3 linked regions of the Lonchura striata genome follow. The protein of the gene in region 1 purifies or fractionates together with the protein of each later gene. This does not show direct contact. Links are inferred from orthologs where the notes say so. Each region holds a gene or a part of one and is shown on either strand. Other genes may lie near its edges.

Region 1 (7,726 bases):
AGAAGCTATTGGAAAGCAATGAAATCCAGCAGTCCTGTAATTATTTCCCTCATCTTTTTAAACAGAATATTTAACAAAACCCTTTCCCCAAAGAAAAGCAGTAACTACAGACAACCTGAAACCTGGGCAGTGCCTCATCTTTCAGTCCCTAGGAACTCACAGATTGCTGTGCTGCCTTGGTGAGGCTCTTGTACCATGCACAGATGTGACACGTGGGTGTCAGTGTCACCACCACAGCCCCACACTGCTGCAGCAGCTCGCAGCAGTGCTGTGCCTGAAGGAGCTTCCATCTGCCAGGTAAGAAACTCCTGAGGGGCAGGATCCAGGCAGGCCCAGACCTCACTGAAGGAAAGTCTCACAGACCATCCATGGGTTTCCAAGTTAAAAAATATTCTTCTTCACGTTCCTCTGATACACATAAATGGACTTTAATGTTTGTTAATGATTAACAAAAAAAGTGGTGTGAGCATGGGACTCAAATAGTTTTTGTGGAAACTGATGAAGAACACAGCAAGATTCCTCCCCTCCTGCCTCACATGGAAACATGATTAAATGACCATTAGTTGTTTGTAAGTCTACTCAGATAGTAAAATAAGAGTTGGATACAAGTTCTGAGTAATTTTCTCCCTTTAATTTTTTCACACAATGGGAAAAAAAACCAACTGTCTTGTTTTGCATAGCTCCATTCTCTGTTCTCAAAACCATTTATGTTCTTTCAAGAGCTAACACACTTCACTTTCCTTTTTCTTCTGAGCCATTCCACAGTTTCCCAATCTCCAGCAGACTGCAAACAAGTATCTCCAACATTATGGGGATCCTGATTTTTCCTACTTCATTTACAGAAATAATTACTTTTAATTTTCATAAGTATGAATGGAAATAATATATTAAAAGAGAAAGTCTGTTCAACAGCTTAAAAAAGATTAATAGATTTTTTAAAAAATAAGATTTATCATACATATTTTTAATAAATGCATCTTGTTTGCAAGTCCATTGCTTCAACAATAGAATCTTCACATGTTTAGTAGTAAAGAATTCAGTCAACAGCTGCACTTAGATTATGTAATAACTTTATGTGGTGTGTGGTCTGTCTTTCAAAGCCCTAATTACCCAGAGATGTTACTAAACTCCCTGGCTATAGTACCAAAAGGCTTTCCTTTATTAAAGAGTTCATTATCACTACATAAAAATACCTTCCTTTAAAAACTTATCTACAACCACTGTCCATACTGCTTTAAAAACCAAATACCCTTCTTTTAAAATAATACAAGTGATGAATTAGTATTTTAAGAGCACAGAAAAGCTTGTTAAAAGGACATTAAGTTTTGGCAATGCACCAAAAATACATTTACATACACCACCGATTTTAGGATTATTCTTAGAGCCATTTCCCATTAAATTCTGTGAGTAAAGAAAAATCTTTGCTGAACAAGCAGCACAGTCGTAGCAGACTATGACCAGAACAAACTATTAGACCACTGTATGATTAACTTGGGAACCAAGAAACTTAATCCTTACCACAAAGTCACCCCACACAACACACCAGCAGCTTCAGGACTTGTGCAAACCCAAGAGCACTTGACACCAACAGGAACAATTTAAGTGTCAGAGCCTGTTCAGCTGCACTCTTCTATTCCATCCACTACCCGAATTTTTTCATGCTCAAAAGACTTCAGGAAAAACAGGCAAAACACAATTATGACTGCAACACTACATACTTCAGAAGAAAAAGACATTTTTAAAACTATCAGGGGTAGGCCATAAGCTACCTAACTTCAAAGCTTCCCTAATTTCCTTTATTCCTCAGTTATGAGTCACTGTTGTCACTACAGAGACATCTCATCAGAATAACAGTTTGCTCTGAAATTCAAGAACTCTGTTTCTACCCTGCAGGAGCCTTAGATGCACTATATTAAGAAGTTTAAACCAGCTATCAGGTTTCAGAATGAACACACGTCTATGGCTCTGAATCAGAGTATAAAATAAAAAGGCTAAAATAAACTATACGGTTTCTTTAAAAAACTGACACTTTAATACCAAAAATAATTAAACCAGCTGAGATGCAAAGTTCTGTTCTTCAACAGCCCCAAAACAATTTTCATGGCAAGGTTAAAACTAGGAGCAAGGAAATTTAGTTGCAGCTCATTGTACAGAATTACATGTCGGCTATACAAGCTATGAGTGAAGAAACAGAAACTGTTTCTCAAAACACCGGTGGAAACAATGAAATACAAAGATGTTCATACTGGTAGCATGATTCTTAAAAGAAAATGCACCTGCAGCTGTGTTCGGCGTCACAAATCTGATACAAATAATCCCCGTGAGAGGCAGAAGAGGAATCATTCCCAAAGGCCAGAATGCTGTGGCGTTAGTAGATTTACCAATACAGCCGCTCTGCAGACACCTCGCGGCCAGGCCTGCCCAAAAAATGAAATATGTGCGCTCAAATTCCGAAATGATACCGAATATTATATTTCACTGGTTCCCTCACAGAGTGTTTCACGGCAAGGCACGTCCGTGCGACCCGCTGGGCTCCGTGCAAGGCTCAGCTGCGGAGGACAATGATCCTCGCCCCCGCCCAAACCTGAGCATCACCTCCGCTCCCCGGGCGGCTCCGCGCAGGACGGGGAAGGAAAGTCCCAAACACTTCAGGCGCGGCCGACGCTGCTCGGGGGGCGAGGCTGAAGCAGGGAAAGGCCCGGCAGGGCCCGCCAAGAGCGGAGCCACCGCCACCCCGGCCTAGCGCGGCCCCGCCGCTGGGCCCGGCCCCGCAGCACCGCAGCGGCGGCGGCACCGCCCGCGACCCCGGCCGGAGCGCGGCCCGAGCCGGCGGCCGCGCCCCTGCCCGACGGCGCCGAGCGACTCCCGCGGCCGCGCCCGGCGCCGCTCGCTCCTCACCTCCTCCCGCCCGCCCGCGGGTCCGTCCCCGAGCCCTCACGGGCCCGACGCGCCGGCCCGGCCCGCTCCGCGCTGCCCCATCGCCGCCGCGCAGCGAGCGCCGCACACCCGCTCCTGCTGCCGCGGCGGGCCCGCCCCCTCGGCCCTCCGCCGCGCCCGCAGCCAATCACAGCGCGCCCGCGCCACCGCTGCGCAGCGCTATTGGCCGCAAGCGCCGCCACTCACCAGCGGATTCGGGGTTTTCCAGCGCATCGCGCTTGTCTGAGCCGCAGGGAGGGGGCGGACGGCGGAACACGCCCCCTGCAGGGCGCTGATTGGTCGCGCGGGGCGGAGGGGCGGGACTTCTGGCACACCGGAGGCGCTGATTGGATGGCGCGCGCGTGCCCCCAGCGGCGGGGCGGGCAGTGCGCGCCCGTGTCGTGCGCGTGCCACGCCCCGGTCCGCGCGGGCGGCGCGGCCTGAGGGCGGCTCTGCCTGAGGGCGGCTCTGCCTGAGGGCTGCGTGCTCGGCGCCGCTCCGCCCCGACCGAGCCCGCCGCGCCCCGCTCCGCGTCCTGAGCCGGAGTCGCCGGGTTTGTGCCCGGTGCGGCAGCACGCGGGGCGCGACAGACGCTCCTCGGGAGGCGGCAGAGACACCGCGGGGAATGTCCCCGGGAGGGGAGGCGCAGCGGCCCCCAGGGCCCAGAGCCGGCTCGCGGATGTCAGGCTTCGGTCTGGCTTCAATACCCGCTTCTGAAATATTTTTACTCCCAAGAAATTGAATATTTCATGTAATAAAAGCCAAATGTAGTTCTTCTTTAACCGACCTCCTTTTCCGTGTGCCTGTCATAGAATGCTGAGCTATTCTATCCACTTAACAACTTCCACTGTTGCACTAGTAAGTGCTGTTTATAGATAGTGAGCTCTGCTTAAATTATGAATGAGGAAAAGAGCCCTGGAATAGAAGGGAGTTTCTCAAAAGAACAGTTAGGTTTAAAGACTCCATTTACACCTTCAGCATCAAAAAAAACATGTTTTAAGAAGATACATTTTTATTCATGTAAGATTCTAAACTAGTGCTTTATGATTAATTTAAAAATATTTCTAAAGTTTTGCACTTTTACAAGTGGACTTCCTACAAAGAAGCATCTTTTAAGGATACAGCATTTGATCATATACCTCAGGAGGTTACAGTAATAGTGGCATATGAATAAACACTTCCCTGGTTTCTTAGCACCTGTAGCATTCCCTTAATGTATGTTTTTATGTAATTTAGTGACATGTGCAGTTCAGCGTTAGCTGAAGGCCGTTCCAGTTCTTCCCCATAGCTCTCCAGAACCCAGAGACAGACAGACAGCAGATCCAGCGCAGCCCCAGCTCAGGGCTGGAGTGCCCATTTCTAAGTTCTGAAGCACTGTGAGCCACTCCCAAGGCTTTTGCTAGGAAGATGGGAGGGCAGAACAGGGGGTTTTATTTGTGTGGGTATGTGCAAGATGGAAAGGACACAGACACCAGCAGGAGTTTTTTGGGAAATCCCGAGGAAACAATGAAATTCCATCTACTACAAATGAATGCTCACACTAATCATTCCACCTAGTTCCTTAAAAGAAAAATTGCATTTCAAAGCCTCATTGAATTTTTAAATAAATAACACTGAAATTATATTACACTAAACAATATACAAAGATTTATGCCTTCCTCATTTAGCAGAAGAGCACAAAGTAACCCCAAGTCATGCTCTGCTGATCCTCAAGATGGCTATCTACACACGGCTGCTGCAGCTTCTGCTTGTGGAGCTGCCTTTTGTGCTACTGCAAACTGCATTAACATGTCTGCTATAACTCCTGTTATCCTAAATTTCATTATGTTTACATTTTGGGTATAAATAAATCACATGTGGAACATGACTGCAAGTATTAGCCAAAGTACACCATAATTATATGTGAGAGGAAAAGGGGACAGACACATTATGAGCATAGAATATCAGACTTCTTGATAGGAATGACGACATGTAGTGATGCTAATAACTCACAACCAAATATTTAAAAATACTCTGTATTCCATGTAATTATGCACTTAACCCTCTGTGAATTCAACAGGAAAAATGACCAACATGGCCCATTCACAAAGCCTGTCATTCTGCAGACAGAACAGTGCTTGTGACATTTAACCCAAGTTACTGTCCTGCTGACCCACTGGGCTTGCACACAGCTCCGTGTCACTGACAGACCACAGATGAAAGGCAGGCCACGACTGCTGTTTACTCTACAGCTCCTTCATACTCCTTGAGTTGTAAAGTGATAACAGGACTTTGGCAGTGTACAATGGGCCTGTTACATCTCTTTCATGTTGAAAACTCTGTCAGTAACACCAGCACGAGACATTTGCCATTAAACAACGACTGATTTCTTTAAACCACACTCTTGTTAAGAGAGACATGTTTTGTAATAATGAAGTATGGTAAACAAATTCTAGCATAAACAAATTATAGCATAGCATGGAATAGAATTTTATGTTGTGCCAAGACAGGAGTATGGTATTCATTTTTCACAGCATTGCCCCAAAAGTGCAGAATATTCATCAGAACAGATGATTTTTTTTCAGCTAATTCAAACATTGAAATGGTTGGTATTTATCCAGCTGCATTAAAAAAAAAAACAGAGAGGAAAGGGTCTTGTAGAAGCATCAAAGACAATATGACTGCACTTTCTAAATATTAGTTATGTGATAAAAAGGGACTTGGATAAATATGTCAGGTATTTCTGCCTCCCCTTGTTTGTTTAGGGCTTTTTGTCATTATCTACTGTTTTAATGGATGATTTAGTAAAATAGATCATATTTAGCTAAATACTTTGGGGCTTGAGATGGAAAAACAGCACAGACTGTGAAGTTGCCTGAAGCTGCACTTCTTAGGACAGAAGCTGGATTGCATTTTGTAATAGGGCTATTACAGCCACATTCTTTAACAAGAGTAAGACCTCGTTCTGTCTGTGATAAAATGCCAATAAAATCCACCAGAAAACTGCAGTTCATATATGACATTGGTTTAGCTGCCAAGTTTTCCAGCTGATACCAGCTTTGTAGCCTATGGTTAAATATTGTATCTATCAGGGTTTGTGTAATCTGTCTGATTGGGAAAATGGGGACTGCCCAGATCAGGATATAAATCAAGGCAGAATGTTTGATATTGGGGCAGCAGTCCCTTTTGGTTCTTTAAGTATCAAAAGCACATAGCCTTTCAATAGTAGCAGGCATCCTTTATATGGCATCACAATGCTGCCTCATCTCTTGGCTTCTCACCAAGTTTTGGCCATAAACTTCCCAGTTATTCTTCTTAAAATGAGTCATTTCATTCTAAATGGGTATGGAGGACATAAATCACCTGACAGGCACATTTTATGCACTGCACTGTTATGATTTTAACCTTGCCTCACTCCTGCATTATTGCAGAGCACACATTTTCCATATCCCCTGGTAGGTGCATTATAACACAGTGGTCTATGTCTGGCAAAGTCAGTGCTTTCACAGAATACAAACTCGGAGTGAGCCACTGCATCAGGATCCCTTTTCCATCCCTGACAATGACAGAAAATGCTTTTCCATTAAAATTTACCACAGTTTTATGAGTATTAAGGTAAATTGATGGTCTAAGTGCACTTGCCTGTCTCTCAGAATGCTTTGCTACCATTGTGAAAATTTTCTTTTCAACTGCTTAACCTTTACATAATACTTGACTGTTGGAAGAATAGCTGAGAATATAAAAAGAGATATTAGTTATGCCTTCTGCCAGCAAACAGTACTGTGTACTGCAGTGTGTTTTGCATGTGCTGATCAAGTAGACACTTAGCAAGGTAAAATGCTGCCAGACTAACAGCACTGGGTCCCAGTGAATGGCAATGTGCTGTTTGGACCAAACCTGAGCTCCTGGGAGCAGGATGAGCAGTAGCAGCCTGCCAAACCTGCTGTGGATGTCCCAGCTCCAGGCATGAGGAGCACCCCCAGGAACCAGCTGTGACCATAATAGCTGCCTCTATTGAGGCAGGCAGAAGTCTTGTGGAATACCTTTGATTTGTAATATAATATTACATCTCATTTCTTTTAATCATCCTGGTTAATTTTACTAGAACTTACTTATTCTGAAATAATTGAAAATAGAGCTCACAATATACTGAAAAATGCACTATTGTATTTTCTTTTTGCTTTACCAAGAGCAGGACAATAGCACTAAGCATCACAAAATATACTGCTTTTTGGCAACACATAAATTAACTGTTTCCATATTCAAGGTTTAGGTACATCTGTACACTGTCAGCATGATTGAAATACACTGAAATCCCCCTCAGTTTTTGCTCACAATTGTAACCAAACCCATAAATCTAGCTTTAAAGGAATGAGAGTAGTGCCAGAAACCCATGCCTTGTCTTCACTTAAAAGAGTTGGCTGGTATAGCTACACCTTAGAGCTGAATTGGCAAGTACAGATTTCTTTTTGGGTGTAACTTAAATCACTTTTCTCATGGAATATGCTAAAGTGGCTGAAGTACTCTGCCAATATAACAGCATCTACTCCAGGGCTTTTGCCAGTGTGGCTGTAGCTGCATGCAAGGGATTTTTCATCATTCTGACAGCTATTTTGGCAAAACTACATTTAGACCAAGTCCAAGTTAAAGTTGGCATTGTTTTATGTTGCAAATAAAGCAGAAGAGAAGTATTACCAGTTTATGGCCCTGATTTTACATTATTTTAAATTGTTTGTTCTAAAGGAATGTGTGGGGCAGGATCCATGTGGTCCTTTGGATGTTTGCCTCCCACATTTGTGCTGCATTAAAATTGCTTGGTTTTTCAGTGACT
Region 2 (6,686 bases), about 11 Mb from region 1:
AACAGGAGTGATGTGTCCTGGCTGAGGTGGAGTCCCTCAGTCCAACAGTCCCAGCGCCATGGGGACGGCTCCTCCATGCATCGGCCCGTGCGGGACGGGGCAGGCTCCGGTCTGCAGCCGGGTGAGCGTGGCCCCAGAGCCAGGAGAGATGGGGCCCAGGGACGCCCAGGCTTGGCAGGGTCAGTCCTGTCCCAGGCGGGTCCTGGTTTGTGCTGTCTGTTGGGGGGAACCCCGACTCTGCCATCAATAAAAGCATCTGTGACAACATTGTGTGGGGTGGCTCCATTTTTAGGTGCCAGCAGGAGCAGCTGGTGGCTCTGCTCTCCTTTCCTCTGGGGACAAGAATGCCTCCATTAACACCCCAGGTTCTGCCCCCTTTAAGTGGATCCTGCCCCCATTCTGAGGAAGACAGGAGCTGCTCCTGCAGGGTGCTGTGCTGTCAGGCATCACTGCAGCCCCTGCCCCTGGACCAGGCATCTTGCTCCCCCTCACCAGGACAGAACACCTCGTGCTGAGACAGCCACTTTACTGATGCACTGAATAATTTACAGCAGCAGCGCCCGGGCTGCAGCAGCGCCTGGGCTCCGCAGTCTCGGCGGCTGACGAGTCCTGGTCCTTGTGCCAAGCAGGGCCGTGCCCACCCCTGCCCGGGGCAGCGGCTGCAGCAGCCACGTCAGGAGCGGGGCGCAGAGCCCTTGGCCAGCAGCATGTCCAGCTCGGTGCGCTGCAGCCACAGGCGCTGCTGCCGCTCCCCGCGCAGCTCCTGGCCGCGGTGCCGGCTGCGGCAGGCGCGTCCCACGGCGCAGCCGCCGCCGTGCAGCTGCCGGCACGTGCTGCAGCAGTACGAGGGCAGCATGCCCCGGTGCAGGCACGAGTGCAGCTGGTAGCAGGGCAGCTCTGGCGTGGCCTGGGGGGAATCCCAGAGCTCCCCCAGCACCTGGGGGTTTCTGCTGGTACCCACCAGCTCCCGCTCCGGGAAGAGGTGAGAGGAGGTGTCCGGATCAGCGCTGCCCACAGGCTCTGGCCCGAGTGTGCTGTCGCAGCGTCCCCAGCCCCTCCTGGGCACATCCTGAGGGTCCCTCCACAGCACTGGGGGGGCTGTGTCTTTGCTCCCCATGTCCTCAGGGCTGTCTGGCCTCTCCTGGTAGAGATCCACGTCGTCACCGCAGTCGGGAGCCGCCCTGCGCCGCGTCCCCAGGTCCTGCGGCATCTCCAGGCGCCCCTTGGCACCCCCGGCCCGATGCCGTGCCTCCAGCAGCTCCTCGGCGCGGGGCAGCCGCGGCGCCAGCTCCGCCAGGATCTCGCACTCCAGGCGGCAGGCCAGGAACCCGACGGCGGCGGCGATCAGCGCGGGCCCCGGCGGCAGCCGGCCCACAGCCAGGCGGTGCCGGTCCCGCCGCTCGTAGCCCAGGCGGCCCAAACTCCGCAGCAGGTCGGCTTCGGGCAGCGCTGGGCGCAGCAGGTGCACGTAGGCGCCGGAGAAGGTCTGCAAGGAGAGCGGGGAGCGTGGCCGGGGGTGTCTGGGTACCCCCACAACACCCCTTGCCACCTCAGGGCCTCACCGGGATGGTGCCGAACTCCCGGCGCCACGGGAAGAGGTAGAGGTTGACGGCCGCCAGCTCCAGCAGTCGGAAGGCGCTGGCCAAGCCTCGCAGCGCCAGCCCGGGGTCGGGGTGGTCCCGCAGCCCCCGGGCCAGCAGTGCCAGGGCGTCCTCCTGCAGGGCCTCCAGCAGCGCCGGCTCCCGCTGCAGCCGCTGCCGCAGCCGCTCCGCCACGGCGGGGCCGGGGCAGGTCCCGGCGGGGCCGGCCTCCCGCTCCAGCGAGCGCCGGTACTCCTGCTGGAATTCCTGCCGCAATTCCTGCCCGTAGTCCTGCCGGTGCTCCTGCCGCAGCGCCGAGCCTGCACACATCCTGCGGGTACAGCGGCGTGAGACCCCACCCCGGTACCCCGGCACCCCCTCCCGAACCGGTGAGACCCCCCCGCCGAAGCCTCAGCCCCGGAACTCCGCTGCCCCGAGGCCTCCCGGTACCAGTCCTCCCGGTGTCATTCGCCGGCCCTGGTTTCCCCCGGTTCCCCGCGCCGAGGCCTCCCGGTGCTCCCACCCGGCCCGTGGTTCCGCCCTGGTCCCGGTTCCCCCGCACCTGCCGGTCCCCGGTCCCGGTCCCGGTTCCCCCGTACCCGCCGGTCCCTGGTTCCGGTCCCGGTTCCCCCGCACCTGCCGGTCCCTGGTTCCGCTCTGGCCCCGGTTCCCCCGCACCTGCCGGTCCCCGGTCCCGGTTCCCCCGCCCGCCCCGCTCGCGCTCCGTTCCCGCTCCCCTTCCGCGCGCGCCGGGCCGGCACGCACGCGCCGCCCGTAGCTCCGCCCCCGGGGCGGGGCCGATCCCCGCGCCACAGCGCCCCCCGGCGGGCGGGAGGACCCGCAGCACCTGCCCGGGGCGCGGGGGTCCCGCGGCGCCCCCTCCTCACTGCAGCGACTCCACGTAGGACAGGGCGCTCTGCAGGGACGTCAGGCAGTACCCCTCCTCTCCGATCAGGTACCTGCGCCCACACCCGTGTCACCACCGCGACACCACCACACCCACCGGGCTCAGCCCTGTCCCGGGAGGGTGCGCCGGTGTCCCGAGCCCACGGTGCCTGCATGGCCCCGCACCCCCGCACGTACCCCTCGTGGATGAACTCCTCCAGGGCGGCACACTCGGAGAGCAGCTGCGGCAGCCCCGTCTGCAGCACCACGTAGGACAGGATGGGCAGCAGGTCGTCTGCCCCGCTGCGACAACAGAGGCCATCAGCCACGGCGGCCACAGGGACTGGCACGCCAGCAGCTCACCGCGCAGCTCCGTAGCACCGGCCACAGCAGCCGCCCGTCCCGCTCCGTAGCTCCCGCACTCACATGGCGGCCGCGGCGAGGCTCCGGGCGTCGCGGCTGCCGCAGTACTCCTCGGCACACTCGCAGATGCCGCGCAGGGCCCGCACTGCGGCGCGGGGCGGGCGTCAGGGTGACCGCGGCCGGCCCCGCGCCCCGGCCCCGCGCCCCCCGCGCCGCTCACCGATGCACTCCAACTTCCTGCGGGGACACGTCTCCAGCGGGATGAGGCGCAGGTCCCGCACGGCCGAGGCGTACGCGGGCCGGCCGGCGCCGGGCGGGAAGAGGCGCGACGCCAGCCCCATGTCGGCGGGGCCGGCGTGCCGGTGCCGCTCCATGCTGCGCGCCAGGGCCGCCTCGCGGGGCTGCTGCACGGTCCTGCGGGCACGGAGGTGATGGGGGTGCCGGGAAGGGCTCGGCGGTGCCCTCCGAGGCGGGTCATGGTACCTGTAGAGAGCCAGGAGCGGCGCCCACAGCGGGGGGAAGAAAGCCTCCTCCAGGCACGCCAGGCACTGGTCCTTGCCGGCGGCGGTGCCGAGCCCCTCGAAGGCCAGCAGGGTCAGAGCCAGCAGCCTGTCTGGGAAGGGCGAGGCACGCAGCACGCTGGGACCCCCCCGTCCTGCCCACCCTGTGCCCCGGGGTGCAGGAGAGCCCCCCGCCCGCCCGCAGCCCCTCGCTGTCCCTCACCGATGGCGTTGTGGATGTCCCTCACGACGCCCTTCAGCAGCTCCGGCAGCGCCGCGTCCTGTGCGGAGCTGGCCGGGGGCTCTGCGGGGGCCCAGCCCTCGGGGGACGCCAGGAACCGCTCCAGGTCCTCGAAGGAGCTCTCCCGGGGGGTCTCGGGGGGCTCGGTGGGTCCCGGGGCGCCGCCGTCGGCCAGGGGCGTGCTGGAGCGGCTGTGGCGCAGCGCGGCCGGGCCGTGCTCGGGCACCGAGAACATGCAGTGCAGGCTGCGGGACGCCCGGAGCCGGCGGCCCCCCGGCTCGGGGGGCAGCGAGGAGCCCCCCGCGTCCAGCGACAGGAAGGACAGACCCGAGGGGGAGGCAGGGGAGGCGTCGGCGGGGCCGCGGCTGACGGCCGGGTAGAGCCGGGCGTACACCGCACACTGCAGCCGCCGCAGCAGCTGCGTGATGGGGTGCTCGGGGCAGCTGTGGGCAGAGCGATGGGGTGGGCAGGGGGCACCGGCAGCAGCTGCAGCCCCCTCGCTCTGGCAGGGCCGTGCCCAGCCCAGCAGTACCTCAGGAGGCAGGAGAAGAGCCCCGACACCACTGAGAGATCCGCCGGGCTCCGCTTCAGCTGCGCCTTCCACTGCTTTGGCCAGTCCTGGGGAGTGTCCAGGGCTGGTCATGGGGATGGCACAGTCTCCTGCCCTGTGACACAGCCTCCTGCCCCATGGCACAGCCTCCTGCCCTCAGTCACAGCCTCCTGCCCCATGGCACAGCCTGCTGCCCTCTGTCACAGCCTCCAGCCCCATGGCACAGCCTCCAGCCCTGCCAGCAGCCCCTGGCACACACTCACTCACATGGTCCTGCTCATACTCGAGGATGGCAGCATAGAGTGCCCGCTGCTCCTGCTCCTCGGGCGTGAGGGCCACGCTGCTGGAGAACCTCCTGGGGACAGCCCGGGCCATGAGGGCACTGCTGGGTGTCCCCAGAGCCCAGGGTCCCTGCGGTGACAGCCCCACTCACCGGTTGGCCGCCTCCTGCAGCCGCAGCCGCCGCTCTTCCATCTTGCGCTGCAGCTGGGCCGGGCACAGTTAAGGGTGCAGAGCCACCACCGTGCTCACCCACTGCCCTCTGCCCTCCCCCATCCCCCAGCTGGGACCCCAAAGGCCTGTGTGGGGTGGGTGACACCCAGGCCAGGGTGGAGCAATCCCACTGGGAAGGATACAGTCTCCTCCCGGGCCTTGGCGATCACCAGGTTCTCCATCATCTGCCGCTGCAGGGACAGCGTCTGCGGAGCAGGAGGGCATTTGGGAACATCACCCACACCCCACGGCCACCAGTGGGGAGGGGGGCTCCCCCAGGGACCCTCTCCCTGCCTGGCTGCCGGCTCTGCCCAGCTCCCAGCTCCTCCCCAGCCCGCACTTGCCAGGGATGTTTTCTGCACGGCCTGGCTCGGGTTCAGCCGCGCCACTCGCGCCTCGTAGGCCGCCTTCAGCTTCTGGTTCTGCAGGGAGGCCTCCTCCAGCGGGGTCAGCTCCCTGCAGGAACGGCCTCAGCACTCGCCACAGGGCACAGGACACGTGCCAGGACCACATCCTGCTCCGTGACTCCCCAGGCGGGCGCGGGGCCACCGCCAGTCCTTGTATCCCAAACCCTCGTGTTTGAACCCCCCATGTCCTACTCGCTGTGTTTGAGCCCCCCACGTCCCAACGCCTGTATCCCAGCCCACAGCAGCCCCCCATGCTCCGCCAGGCTCTGTTCCAGCCCCATTGTCCCAGCTCCGGGTCCAAGCCCCCCGTACTTCCGTGCGCTCTGTGCCTCAGCGATCTGCAGCTTCTGGAAGATCTCCGGGGGCAGGAACGGCGAGAGCTTCCCCCCCTCGTCCGAGCAGACGCGGCGGTGCCGGGGCAGGGGCGCGGGGCCCCCGCCCCGCTCCTGTGCAGCCGCTTTCACCTGGGCTTTCCCTGGGCAGGGGGCAGGACAGGCCGGCTGTGCCTCACCCCTGCGTGGGCACCCGGCTGCCCAGCACGGGACCCCCACCCCTCACTCACCCAGCGCCGCTGCGATGGATTTGACCCTCTCCAGGCACTGCTCCGCCAGCTTCAGCAGTTTCGGGGTGTCAGGGGTGACCCCCTCGCTGCTCTCTGCGGGGAGGCTGTGTTGAGGGCACTGCAGGGCTTCCCCCGACCGCCCGGGTTCGGCGGGGGGACACGGGGTCCTGCCTCACCTGTCCCTGCCGCCTCCTCCTGCAGGGCCTGGGCGATGAGGGTGATGCTCTTCAGGTACTCCACGTACGCCTCCTGCCAAGGTGGGGGCTGAGCGGGGACCCCGGGAACCCCCCGGCCTCGGGGGATCGCAGCTCCGGCTCCCAGTGGGAGACGCGGGGAGTTCCGGGGATGCGGCGTAGCCCAGGGGTGCCGGCTCAGACCGGGGAAGCTGCCCCGGTGAGCCACGAGTCCGGGGGCATGCCCCGGGATGCAGGATGAGCCCCGGGATGCAGGATGAGCCCCGGCATGCAGGATGAGCCCCGGCATGCAGGATGACCCCAGGGGTGCTGCCCCGCGGCTGGGGGTGAGGCCGGCGGATGAAGCCGAGGGATGCGGGGGGAGCGCAGGGATGCAGGAGGAGGCCGGGGATGCAGTCCGGGGGATGGGGGTTGATGCCGGGGATGCAGGATGAGCTCGGGGGTTGATCCCGGGGATGCAGGATGAGCCCGGGGATGGGGGTTGATCCCGGGGATGCAGGATGAGCCCGGCGGTTGATCCCGGGGATGGGGGTTGATCCCGAGGATGCGGGATGAGCCCGGGGGTTGATCCCGGGGATGGGTGTTGATCCCGGGGATGGGGGTTGATCCCGAGGATGCGGGATGAGCCCGCGGGTTGATCCCGGGGATGCAGGATGAGCCCGGCGGTTGATCCCGGGGATGGGGGTTGAGCCCGGCGGTTGATCCCGGGGATGGGTGTTGATCCCGGGGATGGGGGTTGATCCCGGGGATGCAGGATGAGCCCGGCGGTTGATCCCGGGGATGCAGGATGAGCCCGGCGGTTGATCCCGGGGATGCGGCCGAACGCGGGGGTCCCTCCCCGGCCGTCCCCGCGCTCACCCTGCTCCGGCCGGCGCTGTCCATGCCCAGGGCGCCGCTGGCCGCCCTCATGGC
Region 3 (7,802 bases), on another chromosome or scaffold:
CACATGCATAGTAAAATAGAGAGCACTTCTGTTGAACTAAATTTTGTGTTGTTTCCCCTGTTTTAGTTTTGAAGATGCTCCTGCCGTGTCACATCGATTTTGATTTTACTCCAACTCCTTCATAACAATTGTCTCTATGGTTTACTTCATTTTAAGCACTTGAAATAACAAAAAGGCATTATGATGGTGGAGATATGTTTGACTGGTGGGAAGTAACACTACAGCTGGTCATGTGCACAGTAGCTAAAGGAAAATATGTTAATTCTTGGTTTTATCTCAGTAGAGTTCAGACAAAACTAAATGAAAAGTGTACTTATAGATTTCACGTTTATTAGCAAGGTCTCTGGGCCTGCAAGTATTCCAGAACTTCAACATCTATTAATAAACCAGTGTCAGAGTGGGACTGCTATCTGCTGACAAGACAGCCTTGATAATACAACAGCAAAGCTATGATTATAAAAGCAGTTGAGTTTCCAATGTAGATCTCTTAACACTCCATTTTGAAACATTTGAAGTTTGCCAAGCATAAATATGACAATTTTGAGACGTTTTTGAGACATACAGCCACTTAAAATCCTTGAAAACCTCTGAGCCTAAAGTGAGAGCACAGAAAATCCTCAGCAAGGATGTGTGTTTTGATGTGACTACAAAGTTGACTATTTGTGCTGAAACTGCATCCTGAGTAAGAGGTCAACACCCATAGCTCAGAAAAGCAAGACCTAAGTATGATTTCCAATCCATCTGTTTTCTTGTAAAGTAGGTCTTATTTCTTCCTCTGTGCAAAGACATTTGACTGTGTTTAACACTAGGGTATTCCCATTGTCTATAAGAACTTCTGGGAGGACAGGTTAACTCAAAACGATATGCCAGCTTTAACAAGATTTTTTTATGGAGACACTATCAAAGTTCTATTCTCTTGCTTATATCACATGAGTTTTGCATCTCTACGAAGATACTGTGTTGAGAATAACAAAACAACTGTATTAAACAAATTTTTACTTAGGCATTGTCTCTAGATACATTTTTGTACTGACAATCCTGTTTCTGCCAGTACCAGGCACATGTGTGGGACAGTCAATCTCTGAGCACTAAACCTTAGAATACTAAACTCTAGTTACACCAATTACACACTATGCAGCTCCACGTTTCCTACATGTAAAACAGCAATACAATCCTTGCTAACAACCTCCCCAAGTGTGTTGTGAGGATTAAAGATTTGTATAGCACTTTATTAATTCAAAGGGCTACATCTAACACAGCAGATGTGGCACTCACTTCCGTGAGCCATCACTGGGCACCTTTTTACAATGGATAACCAGCTTAAACTTTCTTCATTGGGTGAGAAATGCTATTTCTCCCAAAATAGGCTATTTGATCCCCAGCTATTACTAAGTGTTACAAAAACAACAAAATTACTTCACTTCAGAATAGTTAAATGCATAAAGGCAGGTAGAACAACTTGACTTACAAAAACAAAAGTCTTTATGGTTGCCAAATTCACAGAAAAAGATAAAGGCAGTATTTTGAAATATACTGTCTTCTGAAAATTCCCAGCACCCAGTGCCTGCTATGGTGAAAGCCGAAGTTATCACAACACTGCCTGAATACAGCAGAAGGTGCCCTGGTGCCCCATGGCAGATTTTAAGGTCCCTGAATTATCCTCAGGAGACCCAAGCCTAGTAGGATAATTATAAACAAACCAGTATCTAGCAAACTACTCTAAAAACCTGAGACACAGGTTATCATACCTAGAAAAGCTACTACACAAAACTCCACTTCCACACAAACTTTTTAAGGAAAACAGGGTAATTATCTCTTAAAGAGAAAAATGTTAATCTATAAAAAAAGCACAGGGACTGTTTCAGCAGTCCAGACTCTACAAGCTGGACTCATCAAATTTGTTATAGATCTACATGAAGAGACTTTATTCCTGTAGAGAATTCAGTAGGTGACAGGAAAAAACAGCAGAAATATTTTTGTGTACTTCTGAGAGTCAAACAACACTGTAGTATATAGAGACTACTGAGCCTGTTATCAAAGCATATGAGCTACCCTAGATCACACCCCCCCTACTTTCACATGAACCCGACAGATGAAAGGTACACCTGAAATAATTTCACTATGTGAATTTCACAGAAGAAAAACTTCCAACTTTGTTATAAAATTACTGAATGTGACTTCCTTAAATATCCATGAGTGCAACATAACTAGCCCATGTTAAGAAAAAAAAACCCTGTTTATCGTAACAGCTCACAGAGCTGTAAATTTAGCAAATCATTAAGAGCAGCATGATCGTTATATACACAATGGCTCAGTTTGGTGGCAGAAGGTGAAAGCAGGGCCATAGAGAAATAGAGATCTAAAAGAAACATTAGAGTTAACAGTTCCCTCTTGACAACTATGCTTGCCACCCATACTAAAGTGGGTGGCAAAATGGGAGGCGAAACTTTAAAGTCCTGACTGAATAAATCTATCCCGTTTAAACAAAACTCCACAGTAAGGCATCCAGCAGCAGGTCCGGCAGAAGTAAGCTGGCACCTCCGCTCTCAGCCAGCCAGACCGCTTTGTTCGCTGGTGCCAGCCGCAGTAGCATCCACAGGAGCAGAGAACCCCCGGTCAGGTACTGGGGGGGTCTGGCACCCCGGAGCACCCGCGAAGCCCCCGCGGACCCTCCCGCAGCCGAGGGCCGGCGCCAGGGAGGGGAACCCCGGGGGCGCTCGGGGTCTGCGTGGCGGGGCCAGGCTGGCCGCGCCCGGGGAGCGAGGGGCACGGCGGGACCCTCACTCACCTCTTCCACCTCGATCTCTTTGTAGTCGATTTCTTCGAAGTTGAGGACCGGGGGGGTTTCAATCATTTCAGCGGAGGCGGCAGCAGACATGCCTCCTCTTTCACCGCAGGGAGGAGAGGGGGCCGGGGCTACGCGAGGGTCCGGCACCAGGCAGCCGAGGGCCGGAGCCGGGGCTACGCGGGGCTCGGCGGCGGTTCCCGGCGCAGGTCGGGGCGGGCCTGGCCGAGGCGCCGCCGGGGCCGCATCCGCGGCGGCCTCGGGCCTCACTGGCGGCGGGCACAGGCCCCGGCGCCGCCGCTGCGCATCCCGAGCCCTCCCGCACCCCCGCGGGGCGCCGCGCCGACTGCCCTAGGCCGCGGCCTCCGAGCAGCTCGGGACCGCCGCGGCCGCGCGTCCGCGGGCGAGAGAAGGCGGCGCCCCCGGGGCCGCAGCCGCGCTCCTCCGCCAGCCCCGGCGGCGGCAGCGGGAGAGGGGCCGCGGCGGGGGTGGGGGAGCCGCTCAGAGCCGCGCCGCGGCCGCCGCCGCTGACATCAGAGCCGCTTCCTGCTGCCCCGGCCGAGGAGGGAGGGACGGAGTGAAAGAGCGGGGAAGGGAGGGAGGGAGGGAGCGCCAGGCGGGGGCGGGCGGGAAGCGCCGGCAGCAGCGGCCTCTCGGGCGGCCGCGGCGGGGCCACGGCCTGGCGGCGGCACCGCCCCCGCCGCGCCCCGCCGCCGCCGCCAGGGGGAGCAGCCGCGGCCCCGGGCCGGCCCCGCTTCCTGTTCCTGCCGCCGGGGATGGGCCCGGCGGGGTCCGGGCAGCTGCCAGGCGCGGCCCCGTCCCGGGCTGCGTGTACCGCCCTGCGAGCGCGGGGGCCTGTTCCCTACATACATACGCACATGCCTTTTTCCTGGGTGTGTGCCTGTATTTCTCCAGGGCAGCAGGTGCTGTACGGCGTCTTGGGACGAGGGCAGGCCTTGTGCTCTTCAGCGGTGCTTTCTCAGGGGAAACCTGTGTGTAGGAGGGCAGCTGAGGAGTGGGGGTAATGGAGCGGTTGATGTAAACAGATAGTAGTACTAAAGGGATGGGGGATGAACGTACACCTTAACCGCTCCCTCTCCAAGGGAGTCCTGTCCGCTCTTTGCCAGGGCTGTATCCTGCTCCTGTTTTTGGCTGGAGCACCCACCCCATTAGTGTTTCGGTGGGAAATGTCTGAGACTGACGCTTCAGGGCAGTCCATGGTGTGAAATCAGTGCTGAGATGAGTGAATAGAGCTGCTGTGTTCCCCTGAAACAGCTGTGCTTCATTTTTATATGTTTAGCCTTCAGGCTATATATAAAAAGTTATGTTATTGTACAATACTATTAATAGTATGTAATTTTAGTACATCTAGTAAGCTTTCCTAGATCTTCCACTGCTAGCATGCTAGTGAATGTCTGTACCTCACAAGGAAGTCTCAAAAATGTAGAGAGATCTGGTTTACAGAGCTAGCCTGAGAAAGTCACTTAAACAGTTAACTAGTAAAAAAAAAAAAAAAAAATCAAGGATGAATATGGGAAGTGACCTAATCTTATGGTGGCTCAGCTGTTGTTAAAAAGCCAAAGTGAAAGTACCTCTATCAGAGCTGCTGCACTTTGTGGCAGGTTGCCATTATGGGTTGTTTGCTCCCCTCTTGTGTTTTTCTGTCAGCTTTTGTAATTTGCACAGGGTTTTCAGATGTACACCAGTCCAGAAATCCCAGCCAAGCAGTCACAGTACATGTTGACTCTGTGGCATGCAAGATGAAACTCGTATGCAGGACTGGTTGGGTTGATGCAATTACATTGCCCAAGCAATCTGCGTATACGTGGCGAGCAGACTCATATGCTGACTGTGCTGAGTTTCTGCTGTTCATTTTTGATTTTCAGATATGGTTTGGTGTAGAAAGATCTAAAGAATCTTCTGTTAGTCCAAGTACCACAAAATCTGGAAGTAGATATCAGCAGATATTAAAATCCGAAGCAGATATTAGACCTGCTTCATCCAGCAGTGGGGTTATTCAGAACCCCTGCTTTTCCAGGTTGTTTATAGGTTTGGATGTTCACACAGACCCTGGCACCACCTTATACCCAGTGAAGTGTTTAATTTTCATTTTTTCAAAAGCCACTATTAGTGCATGTCTTGGTCATGCTGTGACACAGTCATAAAGAGCCATGTTTATACCCGGACTTCACAACTTACAGGAAAGTGTATCACTTGAGTAAGCAGCTGCTGCTGTCTCAGCTGCTGGAGTATGCAATATATTGATTATTGGAAGATGAAGAAAATGGATTTCTGAGGGATTGAGAAAATTGCAAGTTCAATAAAAACCAGACTTTTCAGTCTGGTTCATACTGGCTTCATACTGCTGAATGAATTGCTTTAGTTCTTTAAACACTTGTAGATCAAGACAAGGAACACCTGAAGTCAACTGAAACCAAGGAAAATGCATGAATGAAAAGAAAACAAGGTGTGAAAATCCATCACTGGATACTTGAAATCCATAATCTTGATACTTAGTTGTAGTCATGAACATGCTTTCAGGCCAAAAGCTTAACGTTTTATTTATTTTTTGGGTACATATGCATTGGGAAAGATGAACTACATCAGTACCTTTTAGAAAGATGGCCAAGAGGGTGGTTGTGCTTTAGACGTTGGCAGTTGGTGATCTCTGGTAAATGTAACTGAATATTTGGTTTTTTTGTTATGTTTCACAGACCTCTCCTGAGGGTATGTATCAAGCAAATGGCAGTTGCAGTCTTCTGTTTTTCAGTGGAGAGACTTTTCTGTTACCTTTGTTATACTTTGTTGATGGGTATTAAGACAGCAGAAGAGAGCATTCCAATTATAGTTGCTTGTAAGGTTCATTTCCTTTCAGAAATTGATGTGGAAATATGTATCAAAAATAATGAGCTCTTTCTTTGTGAAGGCAGAATCATCATCATTATCAAAATGTCACTGCTGTGAAGATCAGGAGGGGTTTTAAGGCTGTGGTAATTTTGATATTACTTTTTTTTTTCCTTCTTTCCCGACTGACATAATCTTAATTAGTTACAATTAGCTATTTTGTGGACTGAGTATTGGTTGTGCATCTCCAAAATATTTATTCAACAAATACAGGAGAAAAAGGAAAAGAAAAGCTATATCTGTTGTGTTTATTTTGGACAAAAACTGCTCTTGTGTTTTGGAGAAAAACCTGGAACCTGGGAAATCCACATTCTGGGTCTCAGTAGCCTCTCTCTAACATTGCAAAGTAGTTACACTGCCTGGTGGGTGATCACTTGAAGATTGTTGGAAACATCTGGGTACCATAGCCAGAGTGTGCACACTCAAAGCTGAGACAGCTGCTGTGGAGCTCTTTGTCACACCTGTCCTAGAGTATAGGGCTCTGTTTTTTCAGAAGAGACAGCAGTAGGTCTGATGCAAAATATAAACAAAGTCCACCTGGACAGCTTAACACACCTGAAGTTTAGCCCTAATATCTGCAGATCCTAATGAAAATTTATCCAATATAATATGGAATTGTACAACTTAGAATTTGGACACATTTTCATGAATACAGACAAAAGCACAGATACATTATCCTGGCTACCCTTTGTCTACCTCCCTTAAAGTTACTCTGACAATTTTTAAAGAGGGGTGAAGAAGCATTATTTTCCACTAATTTAGAAAAAAGCTAAGTGATTTCTTCTTTCAAAAGACTTCAACTTTTGTTGTATTTTTAGTATATGCATTTTTTTAAAGTGGTTAAAATGTTTCACTTTAGGTGATTGAAGATTGAAACTAGAAAACAGTGGAACATACTGGATGGTATCTGCAACTGTAATGTCCACATCAAAAAATGTTCCCTTCTAGATTAAGCACAGGAATGTTTCTGCCAAGTCTAACTCTATTTTGTCCCTGTTAAATATTGTCTTGTAAATATGAAGTTACGTTATTTCAATTTGTGGGAACCCTTTGTGATTAAAGAGCATGTCTCCATAGTAGTATGGAGAACACTATGAAACACGTGCCCCACAAATTCATATCCCAGCTAGGAGGCATCCAAGAGGAGCCCACTGCTTGTTCCAATGCAGGTGCAGTGGAAATACCTCATGAAGACAGAACACTGTGACTATATTGAGAGATTTCTGTTTCTCTGCATGGCCAAGTTGTTGCGTAATCCACTCTTCTCATGCAACTCCTTTGGTTTGTACATTAATATTTCCCAAGAGCAGGTTGCAATATTGTGTGTGATTCTACTTTGAATCTCAATGAGTTCTTCAATTATGTCCCGCATTAATCGTTTGCAAAGTCTTGGGAAACATCACAAAGGTGTCTTCTGCCAAATACATTGAGATAGCATGCCCAGCATGCTTCATGTATTTTTATTGCTTCTTTTGCATTCTGGGAAGACTTCCCCACACTATGTAAAATCTCCTAAACAGCTATTAATTCCTTCAGTGGGGGTGTTCCTTATTATTTGTGATAAAATGCATATATTAAAAATACCCTGAAAAAAGCTTTGCAAAATAAATGCGTGAGCTGCTTTGCTAAATAGGAAACTCAGTTGTATGCAAGGAATTGTATTCACTTTAGTAAAAGGAAAAGTTCTATTGTATGAGTATTACAGAAACTCAAATGATCACATTTGTTTCTGAACCTTATTTTGCCTCTTAGTCTGAGATGTGTTAGATCTCCAAGATTTTTCTAGTAGTCTAAACCAAAAAGAGAGCCAGGAAAGTCAAATAATGCAGCCACTGTGCAGTAAGGGCAAAGTAAAGGTGAGAGACTGTATAGATTCAGTCTTGTAACCAAACAAACACATTTTCTCTGGCACAGCTATCATCAGCTGGACTTGGCTTGGGAGAAAGGTAGTAACAAATTTCACATGGAGAAGAAAGAGATAGATGACTGTAGACTGGTTGATCTTGAGCTGAGAAGTCTGAAAGATATGGTACATGAAATTGCTGATGGAAGATGTGTTAAACAGAGGTGTCAATGTAGGTAGCTATAAATTAGCAAAGGTATTTTAGAAAGA

The links. Proteins that work in one complex are often made in the same cells at the same time.
Region 2: the proteins of CYLD (region 1) and SPATA2L purify together in Homo sapiens (affinity purification with mass spectrometry; 3 studies listed by BioGRID and IntAct, with this or other methods). This does not show direct contact. The link is inferred for Lonchura striata from reciprocal best matches to the Homo sapiens genes CYLD and SPATA2L.
Region 3: the proteins of CYLD (region 1) and MAP3K7 purify together in Homo sapiens (affinity purification with western blotting; 4 studies listed by BioGRID, with this or other methods). This does not show direct contact. The link is inferred for Lonchura striata from reciprocal best matches to the Homo sapiens genes CYLD and MAP3K7.

The regions. Positions count from the first base shown.
Region 1 is NC_134615.1:11,697,165-11,704,890, reverse strand, and holds the start of CYLD (ubiquitin carboxyl-terminal hydrolase CYLD), read right to left. Parts: upstream 3,001-7,726; 5' UTR 2,899-3,000; intron 2,524-2,898; exon of another isoform or gene 2,277-2,523; intron 1-2,276. UniProt on the Homo sapiens protein: Deubiquitinase that specifically cleaves 'Lys-63'- and linear 'Met-1'-linked polyubiquitin chains and is involved in NF-kappa-B activation and TNF-alpha-induced necroptosis.
Region 2 is NC_134615.1:22,853,969-22,860,654, forward strand, and holds SPATA2L (spermatogenesis-associated protein 2-like protein), read right to left. Parts: upstream 1,911-6,686; coding exon 1,563-1,910; intron 1,487-1,562; coding exon 674-1,486; 3' UTR 510-673; downstream 1-509. Other genes in the region: VPS9D1 (VPS9 domain-containing protein 1), read right to left, coding at 2,464-2,539, 2,664-2,768, 2,892-2,973, 3,049-3,242, 3,312-3,441, 3,552-4,012, 4,102-4,187, 4,387-4,474 and 7 more.
Region 3 is NC_134605.1:77,513,765-77,521,566, reverse strand, and holds the start of MAP3K7 (mitogen-activated protein kinase kinase kinase 7), read right to left. Parts: upstream 3,010-7,802; 5' UTR 2,879-3,009; coding exon 2,789-2,878; intron 1-2,788. UniProt on the Homo sapiens protein: Serine/threonine kinase which acts as an essential component of the MAP kinase signal transduction pathway. Plays an important role in the cascades of cellular responses evoked by changes in the environment.